Linked DNA regions of Oryzias latipes. The protein of the gene in region 2 purifies or fractionates together with the protein of the main gene of each other region. This does not show direct contact. Links are inferred from orthologs where the notes say so. Each region holds a gene or a part of one and is shown on either strand. Other genes may lie near its edges.

The links.
Region 1: the proteins of pdcd10 (region 2) and fgfr1op2 purify together in Homo sapiens (affinity purification with mass spectrometry; 3 studies listed by BioGRID and IntAct, counting the BioPlex papers as one, with this or other methods). This does not show direct contact. The link is inferred for Oryzias latipes from reciprocal best matches to the Homo sapiens genes PDCD10 and FGFR1OP2.

Annotation. Positions count from the first base shown.
Region 1 is NC_019881.2:3,910,273-3,914,720, reverse strand, and holds the start of fgfr1op2 (FGFR1 oncogene partner 2), read right to left. Parts: upstream 2,947-4,448; 5' UTR 2,657-2,946; intron 1,676-2,656; 5' UTR 1,674-1,675; coding exon 1,539-1,673; intron 1,092-1,538; coding exon 974-1,091; intron 863-973; coding exon 720-862; intron 70-719; coding exon 1-69. Other genes in the region: med21 (mediator of RNA polymerase II transcription subunit 21), read left to right, coding at 2,994-3,035, 4,094-4,208. UniProt on the Homo sapiens protein: May be involved in wound healing pathway.
Region 2 is NC_019880.2:9,003,876-9,007,697, forward strand, and holds part of pdcd10 (programmed cell death protein 10), read right to left. Parts: intron 2,815-3,822; coding exon 2,688-2,814; intron 1,738-2,687; coding exon 1,659-1,737; intron 1,586-1,658; coding exon 1,503-1,585; intron 1-1,502. UniProt on the Homo sapiens protein: Promotes cell proliferation. Modulates apoptotic pathways. Increases mitogen-activated protein kinase activity and STK26 activity. Important for cell migration, and for normal structure and assembly of the Golgi complex.

The DNA.
Region 1 (4,448 bases), on a different chromosome or scaffold from region 2:
GTCCACCTCTATCGCCTTCCGCATCACAGAGGCCATCTCGTTGATCTTGTCTATGTGTGCCTGCATTTCCTACAAACACAGAGAAGAAATGAGGAAAACTCAAAAAGCTCGAATATTTGATCCAAACAAACACACGACATCAGGGCTGGGCAATAAACGTATTACCTTAAATTTGGGGTTTAAAAAGATTTTTTTGGGGGGAATAAACCTGGATTCTGAATTTTCTCAGCATCCTGCTCACTTTGGCTTCCGCTGTCCGGGGTAAAGTTCAGCTTTTGCCCCCGTTTCTCGTTAAAATGTTAACTAGCTTGTTCCCAAAACAGAAACCGTTTCTTCAGGTCTATGAAACTGGTTTAGTTTTGGGACTTCAGGCATCAAACCCCATGTGTGCAAAACCAGTTTGAAGGCTGTTGCTAACAACATTCAACGCCTGAAGCTGTCGAGTGCGAGAAGATGTTTCTCTTCAGGCTAACGGCAAAACACCTGCCGCACTGATCTACAAACATTTTCACAGCTTGGATTTAGTTGCCCTTCTAAATTTAGGCCATCTTCCTAAGGAGACGTTAAAATGAAACGGTTTTTGTTGGATTTATGTCCTTTTGGGTTCAAATAAGGAATCAAATTTGGTGCCAAAAAATGGGAGATTTTGTTTTTTTGGGCATATTGCTGATAACCTTTGACCTGCTTCATCAAAGGAGCAGGGCGCTCCTTCCTCTCACCGTTGTGTGCTGCTCCTTCAGCTGGGTGACGATGGTGGGGTCGTCCCTCTTGCTGGCCATGAGGAGCCTAAAAACCTGCTCCCTGTATTTGGTCATGATGAGTTCCAACGCAGACTGATGCTCCTCTAAAGATGTTCGTAGCTCTGCATGACAAACACTCACTGGTTTGGTGCTTTATCAAGGTAAAGTGGAAGAACAAATAAAAGGTTCTGAGCCACAGACACTTCCCGACAAACCAACGGACAAACAGCCACCTTTGTTTTCCTGCTGCAGCTCTCGGATCTGACGGTTCTCCTGCTGGATTCCTAACACCAGACTGGAACGAGGCCGATGTCGTGCGACCTGGTTTAGTCCATCAATCTCCTCCTGGTACTGCAAACACAGAATGATACTTCACATCTGGTTTAACAGAGAAAGAAATACTTTTTTGTTTTTCTGTTTCAATATTAGTTTAATATATTGACTTTAAAATAAATGTTTCCTTCAATCTAACTCATGATTTGATCAGGCACTAAGCTCTCTAGTTTCTCACAGCAGAAATAAAACAAAAAAGAGAAAATTTACATCACACTTTTCTAAAAAGGATGCTGCCCCCCAGTGGTCAAAAAGCTTTAGTACAGTTAACTTTGCTTTCAGGAGGAAAATCAATCTATTCATCCATTTTCTTGTATCCCTTTTGGGGTCTCAGGGTTGCTGGAGCCTATCCCTGCAGCTGTTGGACGGAGGCACGGTTCATCCTGGGCAGGACGTCAGTCGGCTCATGAGGAAAATATTTAAAATAAAATAAAATAAAACATCAAAATCCAAGCAGAATCTTACCTGTTTCATGGCTTCTACCCTCTTGTTGAGAGATGTTGTCTGTTCGATTAACATCTCGGCTACGTTGTCATGGTTACGGAGCCTTTCTACCAAGGACTTAGCATCTGCCAGGACTTTCTCTAACGTACAGTTCATGTCTAAAGGGGAAAACATTAAAGTAAAATCGATGAGCAGGACATTTTTTAGAAAATATCAATCTGGTTTTAAAGAAATGTGAAAACTTAAGAAGAAAAAAAACATCGAGTTCAAGTCTGTAAGTAATATAACAAATTGGGCAATTTCCTTCATAAAACTGTTTTACTCTTTTGCTTTCTGTTTGTTCAGTTTTAGTGAGATAAAAACCTAATTACTGTGGTGAGTAATGAACATCTGGAAGTAAAGAGTAGTAGATCCCTGCATTTTTCATTTACTTACACATTAGCGTTAAGATACTCAGCGTCTTACAGATTTAAGATGGAAAGTTAAATGATAGAAAGTGATGTAAACAGTACAAAAAGCAGGGAAATTGGTTTTAAGCAGATTACTTTTTAGTTACAATACTTATCTTAAATCTTTGTTTAGAGTTTAAGGGAATACGTAGCTCCGTTTATGAAATGCACCCATCATGACTGGTTGAACATTCGCTGCTAAGCATCTAATTTTGCCAATGTCGTGTTTGGGTAATTCAGGTTTAAAAACACACTAAATATTTATTTTAGCAGAATTCGATGTATAACTTCTACATCAAGATTTCCTCCAGTAATAACGAGCAGGAGATGCTGCCCCATACCATCACACTGCCACCACCAAACAATGTAACTTTACCGGGTATGACCCTCCTGCTCACCCACTAAAGCAGGATGTTAACGAATGTGTCACAGTTTAAAAGGGGAAAAAAGAGGATGTCGAACTGCAGGAGATTTATGATCATGAAATATACTTTCTTATGACAAAAAAATTAAGCAAGCAGAAACAAACAGCTAATTATGTCTTTGCTTACGTAGTAGTAAAGTAGTTACAACTAACGAAGCTGCTCTCTAAATCCTGACAAATTTTCCAACAAAACATACAAACGTACCTCATAAACAGTGTACCAAAGCATGTAAAGGTGTCTTAATTTAACACTGAAGTGGTCTTACCTGAAGAGTTCAAAGTGCAACCAGAAAATAGATCTTCTTCCTGATATTTTATGTTGTAGCTCAGAATAGCAACATCATGCTTATGCTAACACGAATATCGGATTATACGTTAAACTTAAACTTTGTTTCTTTAAGACATAAAAAAATATACTAAAGTACAAAAAATGAATTTCGCAAAAGTCTCTATGGTATTCAAGTCTAAAATAACAGGTTTAAGGTTGTTGACGGGCTAACTTTCTTTAGCTATCTTGTCTTCCGAAATGACGTCAATTTCTGCGAGATTTTGTCAATGCTCTCGCGATAGTTGACGACGGACTTTTGTCAAATACAGGTAAATATGGCGGACCGGCTAACGCAACTACAAGATGCTGTCAACTCGGTAAAATAAAAATGTTAAATATTTGACAAAAATTGTGATATAGAAAGACTGTCACATATACATTTAAATATGAAATGTGCATTATATATAGGTTTTAATGGAAGTTGTTTCCTAATTTATTTACTGAGGGCGTAACATCACAGCAGCTAACAATGCTAATGCTAACTTAATAAATAGCATTACTTACTTGGTGTTTGCTGAAGCTGTTTGCCAAAATGCTGAAGTAGATTGGAATTAAAGTTGAAGACGCATGAAAGGAAGTGGAAATTATTTAAAAAGGTACCCAAACCAGGAAGTTACCCTATAAATTGTTCGTTTTGAGACTTATCCTAATCCTGCCGGTCAAAATATGCTGTCAAACAAAGTTAGAGTCCCATTTGTTCTTAGCATGCTAGCCATCCTTTAGTGTAGCTCTATCAGGAAACTCCTGAAAGCACTAAGCAGCTTGTTTGCTCATTTAGCTGGAATATTATAGGAATCATGATGTGTGGTGGTACAGGCCAACCGTTCTGTTATTGTTTAGGTCAGCCGGATGACATTTCTTACTAGCATATGGACTAAAGATATACATATGTATATAACATATGACAATATTGAACTTCAGGCACTCCAACCCCTACACTTAATCTTCATGACATTTCGAAATAAATGCCTGAAGGGCATAATACATATGATTACATGAAGAAGGAGCAAAAACCTAAAAATATTCTAACTTACAAGAAGTGTACTACTTCATAATTCTCTTTTCTCTATGAAAGATTTTAACCGTCTTAAATAAAACCAAAATCTTGCTGAAAATGCTTGAAATATTTGCATACAGCCAGATAAAGAATAATGGAAGACAATTATACCAAAAATGTTTTTAAAATGAAATGTTTAATATAATATCCATTCATTTCCAATGAGTAGAATTTCCTGCTGTGCTTTGTTATAATCCAAGCTTGATTGTTTTGACCTTTCTGTCTGTGTTTCAAACATAAAATGAATCTATTCGGGATGTGTGGTGCAGGTCGGCTTCAGCTCGGTCTGAACTGTGTGTTCTGCTTTTGCGTGGGCAGCTTGCAGATCAGTTTTGTAACGCCATCGGTGTTTTGCAACAATTTGCTCCCCCTGCGTCCTTCAGCAACATCCAGACCGCTATCAACAAGGACCAGCCGGCCAACCCCACTGAAGGTTAGTCTGACGCCGACTGTCTCTAAAGACCCACTGGGTCGCCGCCTGCTCTTCACCTTCAGTCCTCGGTTTACAGTTTCAATTCTGAATTTTCACTTTCGGAGTACAGCCTCATTTTACGTTGGGGTGGGCCTTCGATGCCGTTGGATATTGGGACATGATTGATATCAGGGGCTAGACGGGTCATTCTCTGAATTCGGTGCACATTGGTAATTGAAAATCTTACCTAAAAAATGTGTG
Region 2 (3,822 bases):
CACGTAACAAATAGTCCGCTTTTTGTGAAAAAAGCAATCCAAATCGGGACAAAAACAAGAATTAAAGACTAAAAACTGGTTAAGATTTATTTCTTTTGTAAGTGACTATGGCCTTCAAAGTGTGCATTATCACTTTTTTATTAAATCTTGTAGAGATTTCTTTCACAGATTAAGATATTTCTAGTGTTTCCTAATGCTAACAAAAAACCTAAATGTTTGTATCTAAAAATTGTTATTTAAGAAAAAGTAAAGACTCGATTTGATGAATGAGGTGGAAAAGCAGATTTGCAGCGAGACAATCAGTCTGTGGATGTGCTAAAGTCCAGGTTGCTCTGATCCAGGCGTTTTCTCAGTGGTTGGGTGTGGCGTCTCTCATTTCCTCTTTTCAAAACTTCTCAGATTGTCTGTTAAATTTAGATCAGCTGAGTTTGCTAAACAATATCCAATCCAGGGTTTGGTTCAGCTGGGGAAAAAGAAAATCAGTAGAAGGGGGTATGAAGAACTCTACAACATCGTGTAGATGGCATGGCTCCTCAAACCACCTGCAAGTGAAGAACCTCTACAATCAACCTTAAACTACGAGGACTCTGTCTTCTTTCTCCAGACTCTGGGATCTTCATGTTTCAAACTGTCCTTTCCTCTGACCTAATCCAAAGAATGTGATGGTTGCAGTCCATGTCCTACATCCTGAGGTGGCTCTTCCATTCCACAATTAGCCAGCCTCTTGTTAAGCTTTCTAAAACGTCTCCACTTTGCATGAAGGAGACAGCACTCTGTGAGAAACCAGCTTCTTAAGCAACGAGCTGGCGTGTCTTACCTAGCTGGTGAGGGGAGTCACTGATCATCATCTGGTCAAGTCCAACAAACTCCTCCAGACTGTTATCAACCATTTAGAGGCTAAGAAATCCGAAGTGTGACAGTACAACACTTCAAAATCAAACTTCTGTTGCCGTAGTTTCTGAAGAAGTGAATTAGGGTTGTACCGATCGGGATGTCAGTCAGTCATCACGATGGACGATTTCATCAAATCGAGTCTTTCATCGTGGATGAGTCATTAGTTGGGAAATAAAATAAATTAAGTAATAAAGTAAAATCACAAATAATAATTGTATAATAACGAAAAATTAAAAATACGGGGGGTGAATCTGCTGCAAAAGGTCAGCATCAAAACTACAAACATGAAACAATCATAATTGTGATAAACAGAAAAAGAATAAATGAATTAGTCTGAGAGCTATCAGGGGATGGTATCATACAGTCTGTCCTTTTTTTCCCTCTTCTTTTTCAGGTTACAACTAGTAAATCAAAAATATGAAGACTTTGTTTAAAATATATATCCCTGATTTAAAAAAAATCTTCCATTTTTAAAACGTAATCCGACATTCGTGTGTATTCATAAATCTGAAGGCTTGACAATCAAACTCGTGGATGGACTCATTGTGAGATAAGAAATGGGTCATATATAACCCGAACTTGTCTGTCAGTGTTAAGTTCACACTTACTTTCCGTCTTTGAAGTATATTTTGAGGGTGTCGCTGAAACTCTTGGAGTATTTCACAAACTCCCTTTTCTGGTTCTCCAGAGCCTTGAAGAGAAGAAAAACCTTTAGAAACGAAGCTTTTGTGTTGACCGGCTGTCTTCTGGGGTTCCTGACTTACCCTGCGGTTCTGGTACTGATATTTCTTAATGACGTTGTTGACCGTATCCAGGAGCTCTTTGATGGCGCTGGCTATGTCTCTGTGAATTACAGTTAATACAGATTTAAATACAGGAAAAGTAAAAAGCGCATTTAAAGGAAGTATTTAAATGCATTTCATAAATTTCACAAAAACAAATCTTTTTTTACCTCCATGACGCATTTCCCTAAACGACTATATCTGTCCAACAAACAATTAAAAAATATAAAGCCATAAATTAGGTCAAATTCCCCTTTATTTTATTTTTTTATGAATTTGTTGAAAGACCTGGATTTGCCTTAAACGTTTGCTTCCACCTTTGATCATCCAAGAAAAGTATGATATCCTAACTGTTTCCTTGAAAGATGATTAGAGAGTGAATTATTATAAAATTCAGGTCCCCCTGCCAGGACTCGAACCGGGGGCCTTCTTGCTGTGAGGCAAGAGCGCTAACCACTGCGCCACCGTGCAGCCAAAAAAATATAAAAGGCATGAAAAAAAGAGTTTAATGTAAATTCAGAAAGTTATTACAAAAAAAGTATTAAAACTTGCAATACCCAAAAAAAAAATAATAAAAAAAAAAAAATACCCAAAATAAATAAGAGTCACTTCCGACTTTTCTTCTACAGAAGAAAAGTCTTATTTATATAGCGTATTAGTATACATTTTAAATATATAATATATATTTGAAATATATAAGTATTTCAAATATTTGTTATATATTTGAAATATATAACAAAAGCCTTTCAAAATAGAGCCAGAGGATTCAATGACCCAAAGCCTCACTAGAATCTCTACATTTCATTAAATTGTGTTTTTAGATGAAGTTTTTTTTTCTAAGGCTTGTGCCTGTAATTTAAAGATGGATTATTCAATACTGATACAAATTTGGAGTCCAAAGAGAAAACCATTTGGTTCTGCATGCACTCTGATTCTCCTGCAGATCACCACTGAGACTGGGAATTGTGGGGGGTTGATTGCTTTAGCTTTCATTCTGCTGCTCGCACTCACTTGATAGTTTGTAGGAAGCGTACTCTGTCGTTGATCTCATCTGGGATTTTGCTAAGGATGTGCTTCAGAGCTCGGGCCTTCTCGTTCAGGTCCTGGAACTCCTGTTCGGGCCGGTCAATCATGAACTCTGCAGCGAAGGGGAATTGAACACACATTTCCAGTAAGTTACTAAATAAATACCTGGAGGAACTTCAGAAAAGATTTACATAGAAGGAATGTATTCAGAACTCTTAAAGACAAAGAAAGGTGTTTTTTTTTCCCTTTTGGGTATCTGAAGCACAGAAATGATGTCTATTGTATTTCAAAGAACTGCTGTTGTGGGAAACTCCTGATTATAATTCAAGGTGTCCTTATCAAAGCATTTCAGGATTAAGGACATTCAGCTGAACGTGTGCAATACAGTTACCACTGTGTCACTAGTTTTATGAAATAAAGTCCAAGCAACTAACTAATTTTGAATGATAGATGTTAGAAACATGACTGTTGCTTTCTTGCAAATGGTTAAAAAAAACAGCTGAAAATGTAAAATTTCAAAGGGGTTTACCTTTAAAATCACTACAGAATGATGGTGCCATCAAGACTAATACAGCAATATTAATGCGTCATTCAAACCCGAATGCAGGTATTCAATTTGGTGAATTTTTGGCTCCCCAGAGCTTCCGTAGCGTTTGTTTCACACGGCAGTATGGCAAGCGACAAACAACAACATCATAGCACAGACGAAACAGCAAGCCACAGCATGGCTACCAGTGAGAGTGGGAAGTTTGATCCCAAGACAGGAATAAAATCATCTGTTGTTTGGAACTGGTATGGGTTTGCTGCCACAGACGTGGAGGGAGAGACCCCATGCTGCAACATTTGGCTAAAGCCCATCGCAGTCCCGCAGCGTGCTGACACACATACACATTCTACAACACCTATATAGTTAGTTCATTGGCTAAATAGTAGATAGTTGTCACTGTTATTTGTTAACAAAGAATACTGCGTTTTAATTATGAATCGTGTTCATTTGCGACGCAGCCGTCGAGGGATTTTGTGTTCGGCGGCGGCTGGTGGGGGGGCGGGGGCGGGGGGGGGGGGGGTGGTTGACCGCGGCACCTGCTGCTTGATCAGCGCAGTGCTCATAAATCCCACA